Linked DNA regions of Rhinolophus ferrumequinum. The protein of the gene in region 1 binds, or shares a complex with, the protein of each later gene. Links are inferred from orthologs where the notes say so. Each region holds a gene or a part of one and is shown in the gene's direction. Other genes may lie near its edges. The genes, in order: SF3B2, SF3B5, RBM48 and CWC15.

Region 1 (8,306 bases):
CACAGGGGCAGCCCAGCCTTTGGCAGTGCCAGTGGAAAGTCAGCTTCAGCAGCTAGGGTGGGGTCTCTGCCCCAGGGGCCTCAGTTCAACTTTACCTCACATACACCCCTCTCCAAAGGGGAGGGGGAGTCTGGAACCTTACGGACATGTGCATGTGTGTGGAACTAGGACACCTGGGTCCCAGGAGGGGTGAGGTAATGTGAAAACTCTTTTGACCATCACCTTCCCTGGGGACCCTGGGCTTGGCTTCCAATTCTCCTCCTCCCCCGCCCTCTGCCCCCAATTAATCCTGGATTATATTTAAACCTGTTTGGATGGAAAGATGTCCTGGTTATGCCTTTCCCTCCTTCCCAGGCCCCATCCCCTTGTTTCCTCTACCAGCTGCAGACGGACTTAATCCACCTGGAGCCGTGGGGGGTGCAGGGTCCAGCCACAGAGGACAACCAAGGGCAGAGCAGAGAAAGTCCAAGCCTCCCACCCCCACACACACCCTGGTTTTTCAAGGCTTGCTGGGGCAGAGGAGATCTGGCTCCACCTGGGGGGGGTAGCCTCCAGGAGAAGTCAGAGCCGGAGGCCCTCTCAGGATGGAGGCCCTCTTCCCTTTGTCACTTATCCTGCCTAGAGGACTTGGTGACCAGGCAGGAGTTTCCAAAGGGGCAAGGCGGGGGGCAGCCTATTTCCATTTTTGTTAAACTCACTGAAAAAAACCCTTTTTTTCAGAGGACGCAGTCACCCAAAGAGGTCAAACCCAGGTGGAGCTAGAGCGGAATTTTCCCCAGGGAAATGCTTCAACCAGGCCACACAGAGGAGGGTGATGGGGTGCTTGGGGGGCCCCCCATCCCATTCCCCTTAGTGCTGGGAAGCCAGCCAGCTAGCCCCCGGTCTGAGGCTCACTTGGAACAGGGCTTGACCAGCAGGAGAATTCCCTGGGTAACAGCTTCTGCTTGGCTATCATCAATGAGGGGAAGCTCATCACCTTAGATGCAGCCTGGTCCGTGTTCGAGCATCTTCCTGGGACAGCGGGGATCCTCAGCTCGTCCCCTGGTACCTTCCACTCTGCGTGGTGGCTAGCGTTGCCCTCCTAGACCACACAGACCATGTTTCCCCATGACAGACTTTCAGGTATTTGAAAGCAGTAACCCTGTCTCCTCTGGGTGGGCACTCGGCCAGGCTAAACATTCGGTCCTGAGAGAGGGTGCTGCTGGGACACCGGAGGCAGCCTCCCGCCGCTTGGCAAGTTCACACCCCCGTGCCTCTTCTGGAGATGGAGTCAGGGCAAGGGCAGCCAGGAGGGGCTGGGTTTCCCTCTGTGATCTCCAGGCTGGTGTGGGGTGTGTGGCGGTCTGCTGGGGCCAGCCACTGGCTCCTGTCCCTCGCGTGCTTCAAACTACTCCCCAGCTGACCCCGTGTCTTCTCCGTGGAGAGAGTTTTCCTCTGCTGTCCCAGACAGGTCAGTGTGCTCAGCCTCATCAGAATATCAGTGCTAATTTTAGTCAGAACCATCTACCTCACGCTGCTGCCTGGTTTTGCAAATTGCTTTCCTTTCTCCAGGGAACCAAAGAGATGGTATAGCCAACCAGAGCTTTGAAAACTGGCCTGGACGCCCACCCACTCCCAAATGAGCCCTGTTCTCTCTCCCCTCCAAGCTCTAGGGCTGAAATGGGTGCATTTAGAGGAGAAGGGCGCCCTGGCCTGGACTACCGGGACCTGACGGGTGGCTGCCCCGAGACTCCATCCTTACTAGAGGATGGCACAGCCTAGTGAGTAGGGAAAATGCCCAGGGCACTAGAGAGGAAGGGCCAAGGGCTAAAGGGCTGCAAATTAGTGTCCCAGGACATCAAATATCTTTTCACCTCCCTCTCTCTTCCCCCCTCCAGCCTGCACCAGGCCCCTTTCCCTGTCATCCTCCCCCACATCATCCCTGCCTCTGAATTCCCCTCACCTCCTTCCTCTGTCACTACCTGCCTGCCCCCAACTCCCCATTCCTTCAGTTTCACCCCAGCCTCCCCCAGGGATCTGTCACCGGGATCTGGTCACCATAGGGGATAGGCCAGATTCCCCCTCTCGCTGTGTCATCTCCCGCTCCTCGGGGCAGAACGCTCCCTCTCCTCATGCTGTCCAGGCTCTGGGCCCCCACGCCACTCTCCCGCCCACCCCTCATCCCCCATCCCGGTCCGGTCTACCCCGCCCCCCAGCCCCAGGTCGGCCACTGCAGTACATACGCGTGAGCGCGGGCTCTGCCTCCGACCCCGCTGGTGGGTGGTCGCCGCTACCTCCCAACCCTTGTCCTGAAATCTGGTGCGGGTCTGAGGGCGCCGGGGCCCTGCGCACCAGTGCCCGTCGCTCCCCTCTCCGCGCCTGGATGGGATCAGGTGGCGGCGTCCGCTCAGCTTCGCTCCTCTCAGCTCTGCCTGCCGCCCGCCCCCCATAGCACACCGGAGGCGGGGCGGGGGCGGGGGCCCAGCAGCAGCGCAGGGGAGGGGGAGGAGAAGGGGAGCGGTAAGGGGAGGGGGCAGCCCTGAGTGGCAGGTTGCCGAGGAACATTCTCCGAGTACTGTCTTCAGATGCGGGCATCTTCCCCTGGCAACCTTGCAGATTGTGGACACCAATGTGGCCAGCTCCTTGACCTCCCTCTACAGAAGGGGAAACTGAGGTGGGGACGGTGTCTGGATACTCCCGCATTGCTGGGCATTGCTGGGCCCCACTGGTCACTCTTGGGCTGGTGGGTCCTGGGGGAGTTAGAGACGCAGGTACATTTACAAGCATCCACATGCTCCCTCCCCTGTCTCCTTCTCCTTTTCCACCTCCAGCAGAGAAGCACAGTTCCAGCCCTGGGTCTGGTCCTATCTACCTTCTTACCCCTGGGGGCCCATTCCCTTCCAACCTCTGAGGCAGCCCTTTGCTGCGGACCTACTCCCACTCTCCATCAGGACCCCAGACCCTCTCTTTCTTGTCCAGAGCCTTAGTGGGCCTGGGACCCCTGCCCAGGCACGTTACCTGGCCTGGTTGCTTTTAGCTGTCTTATGGAGAGCTGTTCTGAGACCGCAGAGATGAAGGCTTTGTGTGAGCTCCTATATGTGGGAGGTGGGCTTGAATTTTCTACTGCCTTCTCAGTTCTCAGCTCCTGCCACCTGGGAGCTGGGCAGCAGCACCTCCCAAAGTCACACCAGACACCAAGAGCCCCAATTTAGTTCTATGGTTCTCATGGACCCCTGCTTTCGCCTGTCCTCTTGGCCTGGTATGGCAAGGATCCTGGAGCTGGGGCCGCCACGCAAAGCTGAGACTGGGTTCCATTCTAGACCCACACTGGTAGATATTGTGTGAGGGTCCTTGTTAAGGAGGAGAAGGGAATGGGGTCTCTCAGAGTCAGGAGAATTGCTTGTGGTCCCAGTTTGGCTCCTTGGGCATGTCAGCTTCTCTCTGTCCCCTAGTCTTCCCATTTGCACAACGGGGGTTCTATCCTGCCTGGGTCCCAGGTAGGTTAAGATAAAATGGGGCCTTACTTGTCCTGTCCCTTTCTGGCCTAAGCTACACTACCTCCTCACCCATCAGCCCCCTTAGTTTATCCTGCTTCAGAGACACCCATGCCCTTCCCCAGCACATACACATGCCTTGGGGCCTCCAGCCTCAGGTGACCTGCCATCATTCTCCAGTTACGGGGAGCAGAAAGACACTTCCTTTGTGTCAGGAATGGTTCTGCTTGAGTGGGCTGACAAGCTGGAGGAGAGGGCACCACTGTTCTTTCTTCTCTCCTTTCTGGGTTTGGCTTCTCTGGGAGTCAGGAGCCTGGGATGGTGGTGGTGATAGAAGGGGGAAGGGTCAAGGTTCGGACTAGAGTGAAGAGAAATTCCAGGCCAGAGCTGGGATGTGAGCAACCTGCCCGACCCAATCCTTTTCTGTCTCTCCTAAACCTCACCTTCCCTGCGTCTGGCATTCCATTCTTTCTCACTGCTCCCAGCCGTTTCTCCGTTGGAGACAGCTGGTGAAATGGAGCATGCTAGAGAGATCTGAAGGGTGTGGGTGTGTGGGGGAAATGAGACCATTTCACTTGAGTTTCTTAGCTCTCTCACACAATGCATGCTTACTCACGCTTCCACAGGCAGTCAGAGGACAGAGCTAGAATGGGAGAGGGACCTCAGAACTAGTGGCAGAGGTGGGGAGAGAAACTGAATTGAGGGGTCAGGACAAGGAAAGGTGGAAGCTGCATTTCTCCCTAAGCGCACAGGCCACTGGTGGTGGTGGGGGGTGCAAGGCAGGGTCCACCCTCTTGCTAGTAGACTGATGGGGATGAGAAAAGAAAAGGTACGGAGTTTATTTTGGAGACTCAGAAAGACGCAAATCCTGTCGCTGGGAAGACTGTTACATTCGCTTCTTTCCCCCCAGTAATCATTTATTGAGCATCTCTTGAACGCCAGGTCCCTGCTCACGTTCTTGGGGGTGGAGGTAGGAAGAAGGGGCAAGAAAGAGTTGAAAACAGATGGTGCTGGTTTGAACGCGTTATGAGAGTTCCAAGGAAGGAAAAGAAAACAGAAGGCCTAGCGTAGACGACATTTGAGCCGGTGGAAAAAGGGGCTTTAGTGTCGCCCTTCCCCCAGGTCGGCAGCTGGAGCTCAGCCCGGGTGGGTCCTCCCCTCTTCCGTCTCCGATCCGCTTTCAGCGCATTCATCCACCTCTGGGTCGGGGGTGGGTAGGCAAACAATCAGACACTTTTATCACAGGCATCTGCTGCAACTTCCCGCTTGGCGCCTTGGCGCCCGCGACGCGCGGCCGCGGGGGAATGAGTCCTTCGGGACTGCTTGGGAACGTAAGCGTCCGGGCCTCTCACGCCTGATCAGGGAGTCGGGCCGGAAGGCCGGCGGCCCGCGCTCGGGCCGGTCAGACGCAGAAAGTAAACCCTTCGCTTGGGACCATCTTTCCCGCAGACCCGCCCCCATTCTAGCCCCCAGTGTTCCCGGTGCAGTGGCCCGGAGACCGTGAACTACGTACTACAACTCCCAGAAGGCTTCGCGACCTAGCCGCCTAGGGACCATTGGAGAATGTCAGGGGGTGGGCCTCTATCGGAACGGCCTTCCAACCCTGGAGAGGACGTGGCGTACGGCGCTGCCGGAAGTTCCGGGAAGTAGGCCGAGAGTTTGGCCCGAGCTTCCGGGTTGGTCGCGCGCCTTTCTGCGGCTAAGATGGCGACCGAGCATCCCGAGCCTCCTAAAGGAGAGTTGCAGCTGCCGCCGCCGCCACCTCCTGGACACTATGGCGCCTGGGCTGCCCAGGAGCTTCAGGCCAAATTGGCAGAGATCGGAGCTCCGATCCAGGGTGAGGAGCTCGGGAGGTCAAGAGCCGGTAGCCTAGGCCTGCGGGGAAGCGAGCCTGGTTACCCCGGAGACCCGGGGGAGGGGGCGGAGGCGGGCCCCTGGGGCTTGACTACGGCCGGCTGGCCTACTCGGCCTGACCTACACTGTTGATCCTGTGCTTTGCCCAGCAGGGAGCCGCGAGGAGCTGGTGGAACGGCTGCAGACCTACACCCGCCAGGTAGGTGTTGGTGGTGGGATGTCAGGATAGGCCGAGCTTCTGGAGGAGGCCTTCATGATCCCTCACGACTCTGTTCATTCTTTGTGTACCTCCACACAGCTAGCGAGGCTTGCCCGTTTTGCCTATTCTTGCCTTTACCTGCTCTGCTATAATCTCTGCTATACATACTGATCCATCCCAGTGCTTAGCCCGAGCTCTGACACACAGGCACTCCACAAATTTTGTTGAATGAATGGGAGCCAACGTCGTTTAGTGGAATAACTCCTCTTGGACTAATCTAGAGTCGTTTCTCTCTTGCAGACTGGCATCGTACTGAATCGACCGGTTCTGAGAGGTGAAGATGGGGACAAAGCTGCTCCCCCACCCATGTCAGCACAGGTAAGGATGTTGTTCCACTTTATAATAAGATCCCTTCTGCTCAGGGTAACCCCGCCTCTCACGTGCAGTATACTGGGGATGCAACTAGAAGATTGGGCACATAGGTACTGCCATGACAGAGCTGGGAGCTCTTCAGATCTCCTTTGGTCCTGATCCTTCCCCAGTGTCGGCTCCTCCAAATTCTACCTGTCATTTAAGATTCAGCTTGAATATCTGGAAGCCTGACTTGATCCTCCCCCACCACCCCATCAGCAGGGAGTAATCACCTTCTTCCTTGTCTACCCCACATTACAGATTTTATGTTCTTCATTGAGACATTAGGGCTCACTCCTTGATTTGATTTCATACCCTCTCCATTTAGTGAGTCATTTGGGGCATACTGGCTCTATTTATTTAAGTTCCCTCATCCATGTCCTTTTTGATCCAGGATTTGATTGTTTCTCTAGAGCAGTGGCTCTTATCTGGGGTCCATTGACTCCTCTGTGGGATGAGGAGTCCCTAGATGGCCTTTAGAGGTGTTCCTGAATATCCTGAAATCGTATGCAAAATCTACATGTTTCCCTGAAAGTAAAACCTAGCCGGACAATCAGCTCTCATGTGTCTTTGAAACAAACATAAGAAACATTTGAAACAAACAAATATAAGACTCGGTCTTACATTATATAAGAACAAGTATTATATTATACCTGGTCTTATAGTAAAATAAGACCAGGTCTTATATTAATTTTTGCTCCAAAAGACACATTAGAGCTGATTGTCCGGCTAGGTCTTATTTTCAGGGAAACATGGTGTATTCATGATATTTTGCTGGGGATACAGTTGTTAGTTTTCATTGGTTGGTGCCCCAAAGTTAACATCAACTTTTTTTTTTTTTTTATTGGGGAACTGTGTTTTTCCAGGACCTATCAGCTCCAAGTCAAGTCGTTGTCCTTCAGTCTAGTTGTGGAGGGCGCAGCTCAGCTCTAAGTCCAGTTGCCGTTTTCAGTCTTAGTTGCAGGAGGCGCAGCCTACCATCCCATGCGGGAATTGAACTGGCAACCTTGTTGTTGAGAGCTTGAGCTCTAACCACCTGAGCCATCCGGCTGCCCCACCAGCAGTTCAGCGGCAGCTCGTTGTCTTTAACTGTGGAGGGTGCAGCTTATTGGCCCATGTGGGAATCGAACTGGCAACCCTGTTGTTAAGAGCTCGTGCTCTAACCAACTGAGCCATCTGCACCCCCCATCAACTCTTGCTATTGCTGTAGAGCAGGGGTTTCCAAACTTTTTTCAGCGTTTTTCACCAAAGGCCATATGCGGTAAAATACACAAACAGCCGGGCCACGCACTCGAGGTGAAGTACGTATTGCCTCACCTGGTTTATTTAAGTAAACTATATATGTTTTTGGAATTTGCTGCGGGCCAATTAACAATGGATCGCGGGCCGCAATTGGCCCGCGGGCCGCAGTTTGGACACCACTGCTGTAGAGTATTCTCTTGAACTCAGGGACTTTGTGTCATTTGACTTTGAATCCCAGCACCTGGCTCATAGTAGCTCTCCAGCAAATATCTTAAGTAGATAAATGTTTCCTAGTTTATGGTCATATTTTTTCCCCACAGCTCTCTGGAATTCCCATGCCACCGCCACCCATGGGTCTCCCACCTCTGCAACCGCCTCCACCACCCCCACCACCTCCACCAGGCCTTGGCCTTGGTTTTCCTATGGCAGTTGGACCCCGCCCACCAAACTTGGGGCCCCCGCCTCCTCTCCGGGTGGGCGAGCCTGTGGCGTTGTCAGAGGAGGAGCGGCTGAAGCTGGCACAGCAGCAGGCGGCATTGTTGATGCAGCAAGAGGAGCGTGCCAAGCAGGTAGGGCATCTGGCAGCCTGGGCCTGGGTCTTATCAGCGTCCTGAAAGGGACGTGGGGCCTCAGGGACAGCTGGATTCTGGGGCCAAGTGTTCTGGGATGCTCTGGACCAAAGACTAGAACCCCAGGAAGCAGAGTTGTGGCAGACTGGCCTGTGGGGTATTGGTGCTGGTATGAGCTTGTTTTCTTTCTTTTAAAAAACTTTTTTAGTTTTCAATTACAGCTGACATTCAGTATTATTTTATATTAGTTTCAGGTGTACAGCATAGTGGTTAGACATTTATATAATTAGCTTATTTTCATTTTTAAGCAGGGAGATCATTCACTGAAGGAACATGAGCTCTTGGAACAGCAGAAGCGGGTAATGCCCTTCATCCTAACCTTTGACCCCATGGTCTAGTCTGTTGGCTGTCACCTTGAGTGCTCAGTGTCCAAAAAAAGATGCACCATTCAAGTTTCCTGTGGAGGTTACCTTATCTTCAACTAAGTTCCAATATCTCCCAAATAATTCCATCTTTTTGTAGGCGAGGGGTCAGTAAACTATGAACTGCAGCCTGTTT
Region 2 (6,430 bases), on another chromosome or scaffold:
ATACACAAGATACACATAGCAACGGTTACTTACTGAGGGCGGGGTGGGAAATGGGCAGATGTTGGAAACTGCTTTCCTTTGTTTACTTTTTTGTTACGAATGATACCTTGACTATTCAAAAATATTAAATGACTGTTTTTATAACGTTAAAGCCAACAGCACAAGAACAAGAAAGATTCAACTAGAAAATGTTGCCTTGCCATTTCCAGGCTTAAAAAATAGACTAATCAATCTATAATTTTCTGTCTAAAAACCTATTTTTCTTTATAAATTTTTAATTCTATATCTTTTTCCAGTGGAATCTTTTCTTGCACATATTTTTCTTACTCAAATGCCAAACTGAAGACGGCATGTGATAGTTACATAGAAGCAACCTAATAGACAGGATTGACTTGAGGTTATTATCTTGGGGCATGAAACAGGAACAGCTGTCCTGGCATGTCTTGACAAAAAATTTGCTGGTTCCAGAACAAAATTCTCTATTGGCATTCAGTGTAAAGAAATTATGATATTCCTTACTAGGTCACAAGTTAAGACTCAAAGGAACATCAGTAAGTATACACAGCAGATACTCGGAATACATCTAACAGGAGATGTGAAAGACCCATGTGGAGAAAATTCTACAAGCTTATTTTAAAGTCAAAAAAAGTAGACATAAATAAATGGAAATATATACTATGTGCATAGATGAGAAAACTCAATATAGTTAAGATGAAAATTCTCCCCAAATGTGCCTATGAATTCAATGTAATTACAATTAAAATTGAAGCAGGGCTTTTTGATGTCTTTGAGGATCCTTTGAGGGAATGTAGAAAGCACTGTTCAGAGATTTGGGTTTGAAAAGTTAATATTCAATTTATTAAAGTTATAAATTTAAAAAAAAAACTACCTTTTTCCTTAAGCTTTTAAGGTCAGCTAAAAATCCTATAAGTCTAGAAAATTTTCACAATAACTTTTAAGGGGCCTTTGAATAAAATTGAATTCCACTCCAAATTTTAACTCTTAAACATTTTAAGCCACACTTATTAATGTAATACATTTCATTTTCCTTGTAAATGTTGCAATTGTCTGTTTTAACAAAATAATTTCACATACTTATTTTCACAAATCTAATTACAAATATGTAAAAAGAAACAAGTTTTCTTATTCCACAGCTGAATTGTGTCCCCTCAAAATTCATATGTTGAAGTCCTAACCGCCAATAACTCAGAACACAACTGCATTTGGAGATAAAAGCTATAAAGAGGTAATTAAAGCAAAATGAGGTCATGTGGGTGGATCCTAATTCAACACGACTGGTGTCTTTGTAAGAACAGCTTTGGATACAGACACACACGGGGGAAACCATGTAAAGACATGGAAGACGGCCATTGGCAAGCCAAGGAGAGAGACCTCAGAATGAAATCAAACCTGCCATCACCTTGATCTTGTACTTCTTGCCTCCAGAACTGGGAGGAAATAAATTTCTACTGTGTAAGCCAACAAACTACTGTGGTAGTTTGTTGTGGGAGCCCTAGCAAACTAATACACTTTGGCTCTTAATTAATCCACATAAATGTATATTCCATTTAGCTCTCAAGGCCTTTGAATTTGAAGACTTCTCTCATATCCTTAGAATCATTCTTAATAATGTAGAAATAATATTAATTTCCATGGCTTTGTTTGACTACTCCATCACAATTTCCATGAAGATTTTACTGACAATTCTAAATTCATGTAGGAGAGCAAAGGACCAAGAATAGTTAAAACATTTATAAAAGAAGAAAACTGTATAGGCTTTCACCCTGTCAGATATCAACTTATTATAAAGGTACAATAATTAAGATCTTGTGTTACTGGTGGGGGAATGGACTCAGAAACTGATAGAACAGAATACCCAGAAACAGACCTATACAAGAGAAGCATGAAAGATGAGTAGAGAAAGGATGTACTATTTAATCAATAATTGGTTAACACTGGGAACTTATTAGCCATATAGGAAAAGTTTTTAAAATTAGATTCCTAAAGCAAAACAAAACAAAACAGAAACTTCCAGGTGAATTTAAGTTCTAAATATGAAAAACCAGAATTCTAAAACTTTCAGAAGAAAATGAAGGAAACTCTTTTTATGGCCCCAGGGTAGAAAAGAGTTTTGCTTGATTCCATTTTTTAAACCAAATGCAAAAAGCACAGCTATAACGGAAGGCTGATACATTTGACTACTTTAAACTTAACTTCTGTACAATAAAAGATACCCATAAAGGAAGGGTCAAGATAAGCCACACACTGGGAAAAACTATTTTCATTGCATTCTAACTGAGAAGCCTAGTATACTGAATATATAAAGATCTCCTAAAATATTAGTAAGAAAAAGACAAACATCCCAATAAGAAAATGTGCAAAGTATATGAATATGTAATTCATAGAAGCAGAGATGTAATAGGCCAATAAACACATTTTAAAAAAAGTTCAGACTTCCTAGTAAGCAGGAATATGCAAATTAAAGGCTCAATGAAATTCCATTCCACCCATCTGGTTTGAAATTTTTTCAAATGTCTAAGGACAGCAGGTTTGGGGAAGGATGTGGATCAGAAGGAATTCTCATTCTGCTGGTGGGAGATCCAATTGATACAATCCATTTGGAGAGCAATTTGGCAATATGAGGCAAAGCTTGAAGACATTCATCCGTATATTTCAACTTTATTCCTATATACCGGTATATTCTCCAAAGAAACGCCTTCACATGTATAAGAATATATGTACAAGAATATTTCTTGCAGCATTGTTTCTTATAGTAAACATGTGAAATTAAATAGCCATCATTGAGAAAATGGACATGTTACGGTGTGTTAATTCAGTAGCATTGGAAAGATCCTACAGGTAAGTTTGGGAACTTTCCACTGTGTGCTTATATGGTGGAAAGTCTGTGAACTTAATTGTCTGACCTTTTTTTCGTACTACACAACAGTAAAAATGAATTAAAGCTATTAATACATCATATCAACATGAATTCTGATGAGGGGGAAAAAAGCAACTTTCGTAACAATACATATGGGGTGTCATTTATTTAAAGCTATAAAACATACATAACACTAACACCTATTGTTTATGAATGCACAAACTATCAGCAATCAAAAACACAAACAAAAGAAACAGGCTCAGGAATGACTAACTTTAAATTCAAGACAGTATCCTGAAGTGAATAGATGAGGGAAGGGAACAGAGAACTTCAAGTTTATTTCTACAGTTTTATATCTTTTAAAAAAACCCAAAACAAAGCAACAAAGTTGGGAACAAAAATGCCAAAAAAGCAAGGTTTGATATATCTGGATGGTGAATCCACAGGTATGCCTTATGATAGTCTCTGCATTTTAAGAATGAAACGTTATAACAAAGTTTAAAGAATAAATTTTTATTTTTTATTTTTGGTACAGGCATTTGATCCCATAAGAAATATTTTTGTCATTTTTTAAAATATTTTTTAAAAATAAAAATTGTATATATTTAAGGTGTGTGACTTGATTTGATATGCATATACATAATGAAATGATTGCTAGGCAAGGTAATGAACATATCCATCTCCTGCCATAGGACTTTTTTTTTGCGTCTGTGTGGTGAGAGCATCTGAAACCTACTTAGAAATTTTCCAGTATTCAGTACACTATTCACTATAGTCTGCAACTTTGTATCAGATTAAAACTATTTTAAAATTATCTTTCTCCCAGTAAAGAGGTCTATTTGACTGTCACACAGTTGTTTATCCATTCATCAAATGTTTCTTGAGAATACAATCTCCGCCAGGCTATGAGGATATCATAAAAGAATATAAAAGATACCATCAAAAAAGTAAACTTTCTCAAGTAGTTTGTGCTCGCGTGAGAAAATTCTTAAACCAAAAATTATAGAAAGGAATAACAAAGAGACGACGTACAAGATGCAAAGAGAACGAGAATTTACATCTGTCTGGATTAGCCAAAGCCGATTTCAAGGAGATGCTTTTGAGCTGACTTAAAGGGAGAAGTGTTTGCCAAGGGTACAAAGGCATTCCAAGCAGAGGGAACAGCTTGTACAAAGAACTGGAGAGGCGAGCAGCACGGAACGTTGAGAAGTACAAGCTGGAGCGGGTAGGGTGGGGTGATGAGTTGGAGGGAGGATATCAAAATAAGCTTGAGAGGCAGGAGGGGCTTGATGTGGAAGCCGGAACGTGCTGGAACTGGTACTGTACACTGATCCCCGTGCAGGAAACGGTGGCCCTGAAAGCGGGGAAATAACGTCCACTCCACACCACTTGTAAGTGACCTAGTTGGTACCAGAATTCGCGTCTCCACACACTTCAGGGTGATCTACCCCTAGTTGTGAAGTGTGTACCGCCACGTAAGCTCCGAAATCAAAACTATTCGGAGTACTTTTTGCCAGTTGCCTATAGCCCTGTCCTACTTGAATTTCCCATTTCTTGTCCGCCCCAACTGCGTGAGGACAATAACCACCTGCCACACGCCGTACTCCATCAGGCCGCCTAAGGCCTCTTAAACCGCGAGGAGGAATTCCAGAAGCATGGTCGGCTCGAGGCCTAGGAGACCACAAGTCCCAGCATGCAAAGCTTCCTGTTAGAAAAAGGGCCACTAACTGAACCATCATGCAACGGTCTCCGAAGGGAACGGGGTTCTCTATAGGGGCGGAAGACTTGTAGCGTCGCCTAGGCAACTCCAATACCGCGACAGAATCCACTTCCTCTTCCGCCTTTGAGAGCCTGAGCCGCGAGTCTACGTAGCTTCGACGTGGTGACGACATTCGCCAGCGACGGCACCGGTCCGGAGGTTCAGCGGGGCGGCCCCTCACCGGTGTGATTCTACTGCAGCTCCTCGTGTGTGTCCTCTGATCCGAGAACAACCGGGAAAGCGGCGAAATGACGGACCGCTACACCATCCACAGCCAGCTGGAGCATCTGCAGTCCAAGTACATCGGCACGGGCCACGCCGACACCACCAAGTGGGAGTGGCTAGTGAACCAGCACCGCGACTCCTACTGCTCCTACATGGGCCACTTCGACCTTCTCAACTACTTCGCCATCGCGGAGAATGAGAGCAAAGCACGAGTCCGCTTCAACTTGATGGAGAAGATGCTGCAGCCTTGCGGACCGCCAGCCGACAAGCCCGAGGAGAACTGAGACCCTCGCCTTGGCACCACGGTGCGGGAGCACGTCCCTCCCTGCGTTCTACCCGTTTGCCGTCTTTTCCCGCGTGCTCCTGCCCCAAGTGGACCGATTATCCCTGAATCCTGCCCCTCGAGCTTCCTTTGTACAGAAGTGCTTACCCGGGGCATCTCGCCTGACCTGCCTTCGTGTTGACGCTTCGGAACACAGCCCTGGGAGACCGTCGAGATCCCTGAGAACTGTGACCGTGGAGATCCTACAGCCAGCCGGGGCTAGGGGAGTGAGCCCTGGCGTGAGACGGAATTTGGACGCTCGTTTTTGCCTAGTTGATTGTCGTTGTTGCATTTACCATAAAGTTTAGAAAATGTTCAGTCTCTTGGTGTGGGCTACTTGTTTTCAGGTGGAGTGGTCTGTGGATTCTGGGCTTGTGGTTTCGTGTGAGTCTGAGCAGGAAACTGGGTGAGGGGGTGGAGGCGCGGGGGCCAGCGTTCATTGCCATACACTTAAATCCACCCTGCATAACCGCAAAATATTCTCCCACCCTGACTTCTCCGAAGAGTCTTTTTCAGGTTCATACCGCCGTCAGTATTGCGGTGTGAGATCATTGTATCCCACCTCTTTTTCTCCCATTCAGAAAATCTGTCATTGCCCTTTCTCTCTAAATTGCATTCTGTCTTTTTCTTGGGACTCTGTGGACATGTCATGAAAAATGGCAAGGTGTCAAATGAGCTTTTTCATTCGTTCAACATTTAACAAGTCTATGTTGAGCCCCACGTGGTGGGCGTTTTTCCCAACTTTGGGGGGCTTATACTAGTGGAGGGAGAGGATGCCCCACGAACTAGACAGGAATGTTAGAAGGTGCTGTAAAGGATGGGAGAAGCTATAGGCTTGTAATTTTAAATAGGATGCTCATGTTAGACTGTTGAGATAGTAACCTTTGAGCAAACACGAAGGAAGTGAGGGGGAAAGCCAGGCAGAAAACGGGGAAATGGCTTTCCAGGCAAAGAGAACTGCCAATGCAATGGTCCTAACGCTGGTATTGTGCCTGGCTTATTGGAGGAAGAGAAGGAGGCAAGTAAGGGAGGAGGGAGTGAGCAAGGGTAGAGGGACAGGTAGTGGAAAAGGAAGAGAGTCTGGCAGGCCGGTGCCAGGACTTGGGCTTTTACCTTAGGGAGATGGGAAGCCGTTGGAAGACTATTAAGTGATATGATCTGATATGTTTTGAATCAGTGCTTCTCAAACATTTTGGCCTTGGGATTCCATTACATTCTTAAACATTCTTGAAGACCCCACACACCC
Region 3 (7,372 bases), on another chromosome or scaffold:
AAATGCGCCTGAAATATCAAAAAGGAGAATTCTTCCAACTCACTGGAAAAGGAGAAAACCAACTTTATTAAACAGAAAAAATACTTCAATGATTCGTTTGGTCAAAATGTAGTAACCAGCTCCATAAATGTCATAAAATATGTTCAGTTAAATTTAGTAAACTTTGCAGAGTGATGTTCTGAGTTCATTTTTATGTCAAAAGTTTTTCACTTGAACCACAGCGCCCTGGGCACTCAGGTAGAGAAGGGACAGACTAGAGAAAGGAGCCCCTATTCCAGGAATTTAATCTAATCAGCAAATGACTGACTACTTGCTGTTGCCCAAACCTTCAGGTGAAATCATAGGTTGCAATGCCTTAGGACTGGCCAGGTCCCAGCCTGGGTTATTTCTAGCTAACACAAAAGAAATGACAATCTGTACCTCTCTGGTCATTTCTGGAAGACAATTCAGTATGCATATGAATCCTTTCCCCCATTTCATCAATCATAGCAAGTCCTGAGCCTGGAGTACAGAAAAAGTAACTAAGTTAAAGGAGTTGTTCTCAACTGGGGGTGATTTTGTCCCCCAGGAGACATATGGCAATGTCTGGAGACATTTTTGGTAGCCACAACTGGGAGGAGGGGTGCTACTGGCATCTAGTAGGTAGAGACCAAGGACACTGCTAAACATCTTCCAGTACCCAGGACAGGCCCCCACAACAAAACATTACCCAGCCTAAAATGTTAAGAAATCCTGAGTTAAAGCACCAACTGGGTATCCAGTCCTGAAACGAGGACTTGGATAAACAAAAGACAATACTTGAAACACAGAAAAGAGCTTAACAAATGAGATGCGTCACATAAACACAGCAGTGAAGTTTTGAAAGTTTTGAAAAGGAGACAAATGTAGGCAACAGAGAATTTGAAAGCTATCTGGAGGAGGTAGGATTATGTTCAGTTTTTAAAGGCGTGGAATGAGGAAAATGTAGGGAAGAACAATAGCATTGAGTAAAAATACAGAAGTGGGAAGTAGCTGGGTTATGAATGAAATAATGAGAAGCCTAGTCTGGATGCCGCAGAGTGACTTATAGACAAGAAGGCAAATTCACTGCATGGAAATGGTACCGCCTAGGAGTCCCAGTCTCCTTCGGTGTAAAAGTACAGAAATGACCTACAGGCATACCTCGTTTTATTGTGCTTAGCTTTATTGTGCTTCACAGATGTTGCATTTTTACAAATAGAAGGCAAGACCCTCCATCCACAAAAAAGATTATAACTCGCTCTTTGGTGAGACTCATTTTATGGCTACACTCGCTTTAGGGCAGTGGGCTGGAACCAAACCCGTAACACCTCCGAGGTATGCCTGGAGATAGACACCTAAGGTCCATTTCACCATCAACATTCTATGATTCTAGAACAGTGGGTCTCAGCACATTTGTGCATCTAAGTAGCCTGGAGTTATTTTAAAAGTTACAGATGTCTACTCCCCAATTTCTGTTTCAGTAGATCTTGGGAAGGACAAGAACACCTGTATTTTTTAAAGCTTCAGGGTAAGTCTGACACAGGCCACAAAACCACCCTCATCCCCTCCCTTACAGTATTATCTGTATTATGCATTCAATGCTTCAGCCCAAATAAAATAATTCAACCTATTAACTCCCAACTCATGACTTTCTGCTTTAATAATAACATATGCCCTCAAACCCAATAATTCTGGGAACCCACCCCAAATAACCAGAAATGAAAATAATGTTTTATAAACAAAGATGTGCTCTTTTTTATTAAAATATAATTATTGTTATCACTTTTAATGTCTAAAAATTAATACAATATAAATGTCCAATCATAGTGAAAAATTATGGCAAATTTATGATAGAATACTAATTAAACACGAAAAATGATGACCTTTAAACAAAATAAAACACTCATAATAATACTATACGAAAATAGCAGGACACAAAACTATATGTGTGTGTAGGACTTCATTTGTGTTAAAAACAATTAAAGATTCGAAACAAAACTGGAAGATTTGATCCAAACTGTTAACATTAGTTATCTCCAGATTTGGGGATTAATGGTAACTTTAATTTTCTGGGTTATAATTTTCCATGCCTCCTAAATTTTCTATAAAACACATATATTACTTTTATAATCGGGGAGAAAAGTTGTCCTGTTCTGCTGATATAAGTTAAACAGAAACAACAATTCGTTCCAAGGCCGAAGAGATTTAAATTTCAAAAAGATATCCATGAATTAATTCTTATGAATATTTATTGAAAGCTCAAAGTTTAAAATAAAGACAAGACTGCTAAATTCTTAAACACTGATGAATTGAACATAGCATCTACATCTTAGGGCCACATTATTAGTTACTATAAGCAGTATTCCTACACACTCATTAGGTGGGGATTTGAAAGCAGCTGAAAAACTCCACCAAATCTCACTGAGAGCACAGGGCAGGGCCTGCCTAGACTTAGTGATGAACTCTTCTCCAGCCATGAAAGAAGCTCGTAGGGACCAAAAGATTGTCTGCTAAAAGAAATAATGGAAGGATCTGCTGAATTTGGTAAGCTTTGAAAGATAGTGGAGGGAAATAATCTAGAAAAATAGTTACTGAGAAGCAGCTAAAGTGTAAAGGTGCGATACTTGAAATTATTGCAAACTCTCTAAGTATTTCCTGCTTGGATTAGCCAGTGGTGAGTACCACACGTCCAGGATTTTCCAGGATTTCAAATACAGGCACACCTCGTTTTATTGTGCTTCCCTTTATTGCTCTTCACAGATGGTGCGTTCTTTACAAATTGAAAGCAAGACCCTCTATCAGCAAAAAGATTACCAGTGGCTTTATTGCCATACTCATTTTCTTGCAGTGGTATTGAACCGAACCCACAGTATCTCCAAGGTGTGCCTGTATTCTAGCCTTTTGCCTCCCTAAGCACACTCAAACTCCTAGACCAGGTGCCTCTATTTTTAATTATGAAAGGAGGGATGTCATATCTCAGGCAACTGTTAAAGCCATGAACCACAATACTAAATCTAGAAGGGCTAATGACAACAGAGGTTCAAGAATCCTAACTACAGATATCCAAGTATGCACAATCCACTGCACGTTCCTGGCACACCTTGGAGGTGCTCCCAGCGTCCGCCCGTGACTGCAGAGAAGAACCTTTAACCTATCCCGCTGGTGGGACACGGGCTCAGTCCCTGTTAACGCACAGGGACTCCGCAAACCAAGTCTGCTCCTTCTGCTGGAGGCCGGGACCACAGCCGCTCAGGGACCTGGAAATCGCCGTCGGGAAGAACATTCTTAAAAAACAAAAATAACAACAAAAGCCCTTCTGAAGGGTTTTCTAACCTGGAATGAGGAATATCTGAATGTAGAGGTAGAATACTAAGATGTTTGAAAGCTCAGTTTCACCGAATGAAAAGCCCAGGGATAAGGCCAGTTAACTAAAAGGCCCGGGCTGCACTAGACGTGGTGTGGAGTGCACAGACTGCCCTGACCGGCCCTGACCTCGAAGGGCCCTCAGTTTGGCCACTACACCGCTCGGCGGCACCGGGAAAGCAACCCGTACCCGGTCGTCGGATGAGGCCTTGAGCGGCTGCCGCGTCCCTGGAAGGCCTCGGTCGGGTCCGACCCCAGACTACACACCAGGTGTCCCGAGTCCGGGCTGGGAGACCCTGTCGGAGCCAGCGCTTTACCTGCAGCAGGTGCAGCTGGGACACGAGGCGCCGTGGCAAGTGCAGGAAGCAGTCACGAGCGTTGGTGAAGGCCACAGTCACTGCCGCCCCACCTCCCCCGGCACCCGCCAGGCGTTCGCTGCCCCACATTGTCGGGCAACACCGATCCCCCGACCGCCAACCCTAGCGGACCCGGCCAACCCGGCAGGCCCAGAGCGTCCGACCCGGATAAAATCGATCGGTCCCTCCCCCCTCGTCCCCTGGCCCCTTGCCCAGCGGCGCGTCTCACCGCTCACGAGTAGGGGGAGGAGCAAGCAGCCTTCTCCCGCTCTCTGGGCCTATCCGCCGCGCCGCTGGGGGGCGGCACCTCGTTCACCGAATCATCGCTTGCAGGAAACAATGGTCAATTCCTCAGCCAATCCCGGCACGTCTTGACTCATCCCTCTCTCTTATTGGACAAACAGAAGGGCAGCCAGGCGGATGTTGTCGTCTCTGTGAGGGCCAAAGTCGGCAAGATGGCGTCGAGTGGTGGGGAGCTGGGGACCTTATTCGACCACCACGTCCAAAAGGCTATATGCGACACGCGGGCCAAATATCGGGAGGGGCGACGGCCTCGTGCTGTCAAGGTAAAATGATTTTGGTTTCATTCGGCAAGTTCAGTCGTTTTATGTGAGCTCTAGTTTCACATGCCCAGCCTACGTAAATAAAGGCTTGAAAGACTGAGGTTGTATCCCTTACTCATCGGAGATGGGTGTTAGGAAGCCTGGTACTCAGGTACCACAAGATTCCACGACCTCTTCGGTCGGCTGCTAGAACGTCAGCTCTGCGAAACAGGGCTTTGTTTTAGTCATTGGGTCTTCCGTGTTTATGATAGTGCTTGGCTCACGGTAAGCTCTCAATGAATATTTGTTAACTCCAGTAACTTTTACCGAGCCAGCTTCTGGAAAACATGTCAGTTAAGGTAGTCTGTTTTAGGTTTTAATTAGAGGCCCTCACACGTGGGGTGAATTTTTCGTTATGCAGAGAGAGGTGCACATTTTTTGATGTTCTGTGTTCTGCAGACCAGTGGAACAGAATATTTCTTGCTTTTAAAGCTTTTATTTTTTAAGTAGATTTGTCCTAGGTTTATTTATGAAATACGTTTAATGTGTCTGCATTTCTTTTAGGTATATACAATTAATTTGGAATCTCGGTACTTATTAATACAAGGAGTTCCTGCAGTGGGAGCAATGAAGGAATTAGTTGAGCGATTTGCTCTGTATGGAGCAATTGAACAGTATAATGCTCTAGATGAATACCCAGCAGAAGACTTTACAGAAGTTTACCTTATTAAATTTGTGAATTTACAAAGTGCAAGGTAATATGCAAGTTAAGCAGTGTCTTATCTTTTTCATTCCCGTTGCTATTATTTTGTACCCAGTTGTCTGCCATTCATACCTGAATTACCCAATAACAACATAGTCCTGTATTATTCTTGTCTTCTTCCAGTGTTTTTAAATGTTAGCCTTACCAAAACACATTCCATCATATCATTCCCGTGCTTAACAGTTTTCTGTCATACAGTGTTGTAAATTAAAAATTGACTTTGGAGTAAGTTTTCAAGTTCTACAGCTTACTAGCATCACGACCTAGGACAAGTTATTTAACCCTGTTAAGCCTGTTTTTCCTATTCTGTAAAATCCATATGGTAGAAGGACCTACTTAAGTGAGGTTGTGTGAGGATGAAGTGAGATAATCCATATAAAGGACTTAGTGTGGTGCCTCCTGTTCAGAATGCAGTAAACATTGATTATTGAAGTTCTTATTATGCACCTGCGTAAATTGACGCCATCTTTTCCACTTTCTATACAACAATTCTGTTCCAATAAGGCTGAAATACGAAAGGCTTTATCTACTTTTATGCTGACCCTTACTAATTTGCTCCATGACCCATCCTTCCCTGGCTATTACAATTCATATTTTGTGTGCCACGAATAGCACATGTAGTCTACCATTAAAGCACTTGATTTTATGGGGTCATGTATTGTTCTCAGGTTGCTCTTCTATGTAATATCACTTCCCTATCCAACTTGCCAGCTCCTCATGGTGAGGGGAGCATATTTTCTAGAGCTTTTGCATTTTTTACAGCACCTAGTACAGTAGGGCTTGGCGTTTGACATCTGGATTTGCATCCTAGCTCCACAAACCAACGTGAGCATGGCTCAGTTATAAATGTCCCCAGGCCTCATTTTCATCATAGAGTTGTTGTGAAGTGTTAATTCAAGTGAAGTGCTTAGGACACTGCCTAGTACTTAGTAAAACCTCATATAATGATAAGTAGTTCTTATCATTATACCTGGTCTCAGAAGTACTTAACTATTTATTGTAGTAATGCCTGACCGGTCATAGATATTTAAGTATTTATTGAATGAATACTGTCTTCTCATTTTCTCATTGAATAGTTGTTATATATTCAGTATTGCCTCAATTATTGTAGGTTTTACAATTATTAATTTTTTCATATATGAATCCCATTATAGGAACACATTGTGCTGAAAAGGCTACATTGGGTATGAACTAACTCTCAAGGGCCATTTAACTTACCATAGAGAAAATCTCTATTTCGTGACCCCAGATTGTACACCTTAGGCTACCCAGCTGGATCCTAAGTTGGTTAAAGGGAGTCTGTATATGTGTGGATCACTTAGCTCAAAACCTATTAATACAGTTTGGAGAGGGGAGTCAATGTTCTAACAGAATGCACTGGATCAGTAAGGTCGATAGCATTCACAAGCACAGCATCTTAATTCCCAAACCACAGGATGTACATGCACATAGCAAAAGCTGGACTTTGCTCTATAGATCAATGCATTGTATACTAGTCAAGCTTTCGTCCTAAGTAAATCTAGATTGATAAACCATGCTATCATGTATTTCTGTTCAGGACAGCCAAGAGAAAAATGGATGAACAGAGTTTCTTTGGTGGATTGCTTCATGTGTGCTATGCTCCAGAATTTGAGACAGTTGAAGAAACTAGAAAAAAATTACAAGAGAGGAAGGCTTATATAGCAAGAATTACTAAAAATAAAGGTATGGAAAGCCTGTTACTAAACACAACTATGTGTCATTCATTCTGCTAGGTATATCATCATGGAGCTCCCAGTCTCGTGGAAAGGGAGACAAGTAAATGATCACAATATTCAATAACTATAAACTATAGGGTTCTGTGTAGCACTCTTTCTGGACTGAGAAGGGAGAGATGCTGGTTTGCGGAAAACTTCCTACAGGATGAGAGAGGTTTACCCAGATAGCATCTTTAAGGATAAGTAGACGTTACCCAGATAGCATCTTTAAGGATAAGTAGACGTTACCCAGATAGCATCTTTAAAGGCTCAGAGGAATAAATGAGCATCATGTATTTTAAGGAACTGTGACTAGAACAGGGTAACCACAAAACAGAGACTTCAGAGATAAGATTAAGAAAAGACAGGAAGTGAATCATGAAGGGCCTGTGTCACATGCTAAGGAATTAAGGTCTGACCTAAAGGCAGTGAGAGAAAATTAGGATTTTTAGACCAGTTACCAACTGCTAATCTAAAACTGCTAAAAGTGGAAATGTTCTACTTTTGACCAGCAGCTGGCTAAGTGCCCCATATGCCCAACTGTGTTTCCCTAGACATAAATTCCAAATGCCAGGAATGGAGCCATGGGATCTGGTTCCTGGATTGTAGGAC
Region 4 (7,355 bases), about 60 Mb from region 1:
GGATCATGGAAAACGATACGTGCTAAAGGAAAAGTAGAGCAGGATAAGCGAGATAAGGAGTGCAGGATGTTACAGGACAAATGTGGAGGAGGGTTGCCAGCTATAAACAGGGCTGTCTTAATTGGCTGACCTCATTTGAACAAAGACTTGAATAAGACCGGCAAGAGTGTTCTTAGCCAGGGAAATAGCTAATGCAGGAGCTATGCTCAAACAACACTAGGAAGGCGTGTAGCCTAGAGAGGCATGATCAAGAGAGGTCAACACGTTGAGGAGAACCTTGTAAGTCACTGTGAGCACCTTTGACTTTGACTGTGAGGGAAGTGGAGTCAATGCCTCCCTGCTGTCTGACTGGATCCCCTTTGCACCCAATCCCATCTAACAGTATTATTAATTTTTAAAAATTGTTGACAAACTAATGCTATAATGTGATAATTGTTAGTTTGCTTTCATTTTCTTAATGGGGTGCTTGAGTCTTTCATGTTTATTATCTATTTGGAATTGCTTTTTCTGAATAGCCTGTTTACATTCGTTGCCCAATTTTTTTATTGGGTTGTTTGTATTTTTTATATTATGTGTATTAATAGTAGTGGGGTAGTCATAATCCTTCATATGTTAGACACATTACAGAATTCACCTGCTAATCTGGAGTTTATCTTTTACAAACCCTAGTTTGTATAAATAGTCTTAAATTTTCTTCTTCGATTTCTTCAGTTACTGTTTTCCTTTGGGGTGTTTAATTCAACTGGACGTAGTGTTTGTGTAGGCTTTGAAACCAGAATTCCTACATTACATCCTGCTATAAGAATAGTCAGTTTTGCTATCATAATTATACAAAACATTCTTTTCACATTGAATTAAAATACAACCGTGTCATGTTAAAACGAAGGAGCAATTTTTAAGGTTAATATGTACTACACCATATCCAAAAACTGGTAGGAATGAACTGAAAGGGATGGATTAATAGATTATGAGAGACAGGAAATATAGTAGGATGCCAGTCACTAAGCAGACTAGAGGGACTGGGACCCAGAGCACAAGGGAGAGGGTTTGGGTCACCTCACCTCTAACACATAGAAAGCTGAGGGCATGGGAAAAGTCAAAGGCAGCTCGGTAGGTCTGCTGGGGAGCAGATGAGGAATCCTTGTTTAAGAGCTTTTATTTTCCCTGAAAAGTTAGACGATTGTCCGCTCTTGGGAAAGAGGACGAGGAAGGCCAAGAGGGTAGAAGAGGCATACAGATTTGAGGAAAGAGAGGAATGTGAGAAATCATATTATTGCAGAGTGAGAAAATAAACAATTAGGACAATATAAGAGGACTGGCAGGCAGAATTAAGGGCTCAACTAGATTTTTGTGGTAATAGGTTTAAAATGAGAATTCTTGGGAGGTAATAAATGATTTTTGCCAGCAAGCGTAGCTGAAAGGATGAATTTTAAAGTTTTAGTAAACTTACTTTTCATTTCTTTTTCAAAGACTTTCAAATCATTTTAGTCAAAAGCTTTACAGTTTCATTTTCTTATTAGTACTTTACAATCACTTAAGTAAAAAAAAATTAGTTTCTTTTTCTTATTAATACTTTCAGAGCATTTAAGTCAAAACTTTTAATTTTGTGGACTGATTATATTGCATGTTGGTGTTAATTATACCACTGCTGGTAAATTACAAGTGTGGTTATTTAACCATGGATAATGATCAAAAAATTAGGCTGTGGGCCAGTAGTTAAATGAATCAGGGTGATTGGCTCAGGGTTGATAAGGCAGTTGGAACACAAAAATCAGGGGTATTTTCTATAATTGTGTCACCACCTTGTCATTGTTACTTCATTCCTCCACTTCATAGTGCATCAATCATTCATTCATTCAACAAATACTTACTCAGCACCTATTATGTGCCAGGCACTGTTCTATATGCAGAGGATACACCAGTGAACAAGAGAGACAAGGTTCCTGATTTTCTGGAACTTATGTTCTAATATAGGAAGATAGACAATAATAAAAATAATATTAATAATAATAATAGCTAACATTTATTTAGCAAGTACTGTTTGCTGAGACAGTTTTAAGCACTTTACAAATATTAATTCAACTAATCCTTATAATAACATTATGAAGTACAGTGTAGAATTTTCCCATTTTATACGAGGAAACTGAGGGCACAGAAAGGGAAAACAACTTGCCTAAGGGTACACAGCTAGGAAAGGGCAGAACTGGAATTTAGAACCAAGCCTGTCAGGCTACAGGTTTCTTTCTCTTAATGACTTTGCTATGCCGCCTTTCAGACAATAAATAAGGCAATAAACAAATAATGAACAAATTCAGGTAGGTTTAGTATTATGAAAAAAATAAAACAGGGTGATGTGACAATATTTGTGTGTTGGAGGAGTAGGGATGCAAACGTAGATGTCAGGGAAAACTTCACTGAGGAGGTGACATTTGGACTGAGACTGGAAGGATGGAAATATAGGTATCTTGGAGCACAGGCAGTAGAGAAAAGCTAGTGTAAAGGAGACTTTCCTTGTTTGTGAAACAGAGATGCCCAGTTGGCTGTGCTAGAACTTAGTGTGAAAGAAAGTGACTGATTAGAAGTGAAGTCAGGGAGGTAGGCAGGAGGGGCGGCCTGATGGGTCCTCAGGCCACAGTAAGAAATATGATTTTTATTCTAACTGTAATGGATTTTTATGCAGAACAGTCACACTATGTGATTCATAATTTTAAAATATCACTCTCACTGCTACATGCAAAATTGAATGTAGGACAAAGGTGGAAGCAGGAAGATCCATTGGGAGGCAGTAACAATCCATGTGGAAAATGACGGTGGCTTGGACTGGGATATTGGCAGTAGAATGAAATTTAGGGTATATTTTGGAAGTTGAATTGGCAAGACTTGCAAAGGAAATGGATGTGAAGAGTGAAGAGAAAGGAATTTAAGAAGCCTTGGGATTTGGGTTTAAGTAATGGTATAATAGTGTCCTTTACTGAAATGTGTGACACTTGAGTAATACCTTCAGTAAGAAAAAAATCAAGATTTACATCTTGAACTTTATGGAGAAAGGGAGTTTGTCTACTTTTTATTTTTTTCCATTTGAAAGTTTCAGAGTTCTGGGAAAATAAAATCATTTTGATGTTTAATTTTACAAGCTCTTTTACATTTGAAACTAAGTTGAAGGAGCTGAATTTTCATTTGTTTAACCATTTATTGAGGATCTACTATAGCCAAGTGATGAGATACCAAAATAAACTAAGCAAACCAGATCTCTGCCCCCAGAGTGTTTTTCTTTGGGGGGGGGGGGGAGGCAGAAGGGGGCGGAGGAGAGACGGAAGAACAATTCATGCTTTTTTTTCCTGTTCGTTGTCTTTTGAAAACTTCACCTGACGCCTGAGTAGCCATCTTATAATAATTGCATCTCGTGCTCCTGGCAGTTGGGCCCACCGTTCTAAACGCTCAATTAATAAATGAATCTCTAATAGTGACATCTCCCCTCCCGCTAGAACTTAGCTTTTTTTAAAGTAAAAATTTTCCCAAACAATACGAATACAACCTTTGCTTTGAAGACTAATATTTTGGCAGGAATGGTACCTTTATAAAGATCGTGGTTGCCCCCGTACATATTTGTTCTTTCTTCATATCCAATTAAATGAAAATACTAGTTTTTCCGTAGCCCAACTCTCTAGGCTTGTTGGGTCTAGATCAGGAGAAAGGCAGCAGGAGCCGTTGGATTTAAACAGTTGGGTGTAATCCTTTTCTACGCTCTCTCTCGCTAGCCGGGGACGTGGTGTCGGCTACCCGGGGCTTTCCGTCCACGCAGTACCGGAATGAAGGAGTCTGGGAGGGGGTCGGGGAAGGAAAAGACGGAAGAGACATTAAGTAATTGGTTCTTGAAGGTATAAAATCATGTTTAGGGTATGCTCTAAAGCACGGATTTCAAACGCCCGCCCCCTGGGCTGTTTCGACCCTGCCCCTTGCTGTCGTCACGCCGACACCACCTCGGTCTCTGAGGATTGGTCGAGGCTTCCGCCTCTGAAGGGCGGCTAAAGTGCTTGCGGTTCGCTTCCGGGTCATCGGCATTGGCCCCTGGCGCAGAGGATTCTGGGAGTCAGGAGTGGTAATGGTGTCTGAATCCCCTTCGACGGCTGCTGCATCGGATCTCGGCCAACGTGAGCGGTGGGAAGATAGCAGATTGTCTTCGTTATCCGACTGGGGCGGGAAAGGGCGGTTTGGATCGGAGTCGCCGACGGAGAACCGAGCGCGGGCGGAGCAGGCCCTGGAGCTGGGGGCGGGGGGTGGAGCTCTGCACCTGTGGGCGCGTCTCCAGTCCCGGGGGCCCCGGAGAGTGCAGCGCCGAGGCAACGCTACAGACCGCGTTAAGCAGGGTCTGGGCCTCGCATCGATCGCGGGGTAGGGCAAGGGGAAGAGTCAGCGAGTTCCTGGTGACCTCCCGAAGGCGAACTCCCGGGTGGCCAGAGTGACAATTGTGCGGAGGGGGTGTGGGAGGCAGCGGCGCCCCCAGCGGCAGGAAACCCTGTTTCTCCTCCACTGGACACATCTTTTTACCTTTTTTTTTAAAATCTAGAGACGTATACTACCAGTTAGTTACCCCAACTTCCTCCATGCACTTGGTTTTCTGACGCTTACCGGGATTTTAGTAGCCACATCTGCTGGGTGTGGTATTCTTTCGACTATTCAAAACCAAAAGTAACGTAAAGAACGAGTCTCTGATCTTATCACAATTCTTTGGGGGTGAGATTCCTGTCTTATGAGCGTTCCTTAAGTTATAACCTACAAAAGACCTGATTTTATATTACGTTGGCTGCTGTAAGAGAAAGTTGGGTCAACAGAAGGTTGTTGGAGAATTCTTCCCATGTAATTGTCATTGAAGTTTAGCACTTTTCTCCAGGACACTCAGTAATTGTAATTAAGGTATTATTTTTGTGATTTTTAAAATACTCTTTTTGTTTTTGTAGTTACTAGCCTATTTTCTGTTGTGTGAGGTTTAGTAGGTTGTTGCAAAAGTAATTGCGGTTTTTGCAATGTTTAATCTTTTAAACCGCAGTTACTTTTGCACCAACCTAATAGATAAAATGCGAACTTTAAGGAGTCTGGTGGAGTAAGGTTGAGTTGAGAATTTTTAAGACTCAGTCATGGCAGTATCATATTTTACAAGAGTTTTGCCATGGCAAATCACATAATAATTCTATGACGAATATCCCCATTCCACAGATGAGAGAAACTTAAGCTTGGTGACTTGCTCAAGGCCACAGAACCAGAAGGAGAACGGGAACACAAATTCAGATCTTCGTGACTAGAATTTTTTGTACCAGATAGGAGCTTCCTAACAAGCCATATTCCTTGTACCTCCCTGAACCTCATTTTTTTCCCCCGTGGAACTTTTGTTTGAGGTTATTTAAGTAAGTTTTGGGGAATGAGCTGTGGAAATTACTTCACAAGGGTGAATATTGATTAATACTTTATAAAATGAGATTTTGCCATATGGGAAATAATGTGATATTATTTTTCTTCAAAGCGTAAAAGATGACAACAGCAGCTAGGCCAACTTTTGAACCTGCAAGAGGTGGAAGAGGAAAAGGAGAAGGTGATTTGAGCCAACTCTCAAAGCAATATTCAAGTAGAGACCTACCTTCTCACACAAAGATAAAATACAGGTAATGAAGACTCATTTTTTTCGTGTTCACAAAGCAAAATCAAATCTGTTAAATAGTATGGTCACGAGATAGTAGCATGTTTAGCTTACATTGCTTAAGTTATCTATTTTCATGGGAGTAGAATGCAGTAGTGTATAACACTAAAATTATGTTCTGTGATTGTAAAATACTAGCAGATATTCCTTAAGCAGAAATTCCTGTTTAACCAGGAATTTCTGTATGTAGAAATTCCTGTTTAACCAGGAATTTCTGTATGTAGATAAAACAGTAACTAATATATTAACTCAGAGGGACCATGCACTATTACTACTAATCAATATGAGATCAAAAGTATTCCTGTAGCAGGACCTGAGTTAACATACTAACAAAAAAGTAAAGACATTTTAATCAATCTGCAGCCTTACGGGGACATACATGATTTCAGTTTGGGCTTCTTGAAATCTGGAAATATCACAAGGATGCCTGTTAATAACCTTCACATTAGGATAATAATTTTGTCCAGTTCCCTCTTTCATACTTGAGGGACTCGAGGACAAAGTTGCTTTTTGTGAATTATCTTCCATTGCTACATCCTGGGGTTGTTTTTTAACACTTTTGTCCTGGTTTGTTTCTAGACAGACCACTCAGGATGCCCCTGAAGAGGTTCGGAACCGTGACTTCAGGCGAGAGTTGGAAGAGAGGGAGAGAGCTGCTGCAAGAGAAAAAAATAGAGATCGTCCAACCCGAGGTACAAACACTGCCCCGACATTTGTCTCATAAAATTATGTTGACAGTAGTTTTTCTTTCATGGGGTAATTGGAATAGATTATGTCTTTTGTTTTCTTTTAAATATTGGTATGGCCTGCAAAACTTTCTTGAATGATGAGAAGTGATAATGAGGTCAATTTCAGGTCCATCTTTTTATGATTCTATATCAGAAGGAAAAGGTTGATTGGGGCTATTTAGCAGCCATTGTTTCAGTTCAGATCAAGGAGTTATTGGTTATTTACAAGAGCCACACTTTTTGGAGCCCCGTGATTTCAGTCTATGAAATTTTCCCATTTTTGTCACTGGCTATAGGAAGGTGACATCAGTTATTAATATAATGTCTTTTATATTTCCAGCATATGTAAACTATTCTCTAAATTCCCCTGAGAGAGGCTGCAGTTCCCATATTAAAATCAATACTTTCATTAATTCTGTCAACAAATATTTACCAAGGATTTATTTGCCAGGCACCATGGTTTTGATCCCTGTTGTCATGATGGTTATAGTCTAAGCTCTTTGTGCCCACGTCCCTAAAATGTTTTAAGAAGTACAGTATTTGTTTCAGTAAGCGAAGTGATGTTTGTTTTTTTCCAGAACATACAACCTCCTCTTCTGTGTCAAAGAAGCCTCGGTTAGACCAGATTCCCGCTGCCAACCTCGATGCAGATGATCCTCTAACAGATGTATGTTTTGTTAACTCCTTTGTCTCCATACACTAATTTATTTATATCATGTTTTCTGAAATACTATTTTATTTTGGCTTTCATTGCCCTGTATTTATTTTTACTTAACTGTTATTCAAATGTAGCCCTGATTTCAATGCTAAACTTTATAATTGATTTTAAAACAAAAAGTGTTATTATGTGGTTAATCAAACTTCAAGAACAAGTTTGAGCTCTGGAGAACCAAATAAGGAAGTGGTCTCTTAAGGAATATGCTTCTTTAAGAAAT

What was found.
Region 2: SF3B2 (region 1) and SF3B5 share a complex: the UniProt entries of both Homo sapiens proteins name them as parts of the SF3B subcomplex of the 17S U2 SnRNP complex. The link is inferred for Rhinolophus ferrumequinum from reciprocal best matches to the Homo sapiens genes SF3B2 and SF3B5.
Region 3: SF3B2 (region 1) and RBM48 share a complex: the UniProt entries of both Homo sapiens proteins name them as parts of the minor spliceosome. The link is inferred for Rhinolophus ferrumequinum from reciprocal best matches to the Homo sapiens genes SF3B2 and RBM48.
Region 4: SF3B2 (region 1) and CWC15 share a complex: the UniProt entries of both Homo sapiens proteins name them as parts of the minor spliceosome. The link is inferred for Rhinolophus ferrumequinum from reciprocal best matches to the Homo sapiens genes SF3B2 and CWC15.

What each region holds. Positions count from the first base shown.
Region 1 is NC_046294.1:5,802,508-5,810,813, reverse strand, and holds the start of SF3B2 (splicing factor 3B subunit 2), read left to right. Parts: upstream 1-5,096; 5' UTR 5,097-5,177; coding exon 5,178-5,310; intron 5,311-5,476; coding exon 5,477-5,526; intron 5,527-5,826; coding exon 5,827-5,904; intron 5,905-7,499; coding exon 7,500-7,748; intron 7,749-8,056; coding exon 8,057-8,107; intron 8,108-8,306. UniProt on the Homo sapiens protein: Component of the 17S U2 SnRNP complex of the spliceosome, a large ribonucleoprotein complex that removes introns from transcribed pre-mRNAs.
Region 2 is NC_046286.1:88,694,444-88,700,873, reverse strand, and holds SF3B5 (splicing factor 3B subunit 5), read left to right. Parts: upstream 1-4,756; 5' UTR 4,757-4,885; coding exon 4,886-5,146; 3' UTR 5,147-5,502; downstream 5,503-6,430. UniProt on the Homo sapiens protein: Component of the 17S U2 SnRNP complex of the spliceosome, a large ribonucleoprotein complex that removes introns from transcribed pre-mRNAs.
Region 3 is NC_046303.1:33,699,672-33,707,043, reverse strand, and holds the start of RBM48 (RNA-binding protein 48), read left to right. Parts: upstream 1-4,136; 5' UTR 4,137-4,174; coding exon 4,175-4,285; intron 4,286-4,825; coding exon 4,826-5,016; intron 5,017-6,582; coding exon 6,583-6,722; coding exon of another isoform or gene 6,723-6,728; intron 6,729-7,372. Other genes in the region: peroxisomal ATPase PEX1, read right to left, coding at 3,681-3,809. UniProt on the Homo sapiens protein: As a component of the minor spliceosome, involved in the splicing of U12-type introns in pre-mRNAs.
Region 4 is NC_046294.1:65,762,501-65,769,855, reverse strand, and holds the start of CWC15 (spliceosome-associated protein CWC15 homolog), read left to right. Parts: upstream 1-4,041; 5' UTR 4,042-4,158; intron 4,159-4,316; exon of another isoform or gene 4,317-4,392; intron 4,393-5,229; exon of another isoform or gene 5,230-5,402; intron 5,403-5,518; 5' UTR 5,519-5,526; coding exon 5,527-5,657; intron 5,658-6,271; coding exon 6,272-6,384; intron 6,385-6,998; coding exon 6,999-7,087; intron 7,088-7,355. UniProt on the Homo sapiens protein: Involved in pre-mRNA splicing as component of the spliceosome. Component of the PRP19-CDC5L complex that forms an integral part of the spliceosome and is required for activating pre-mRNA splicing.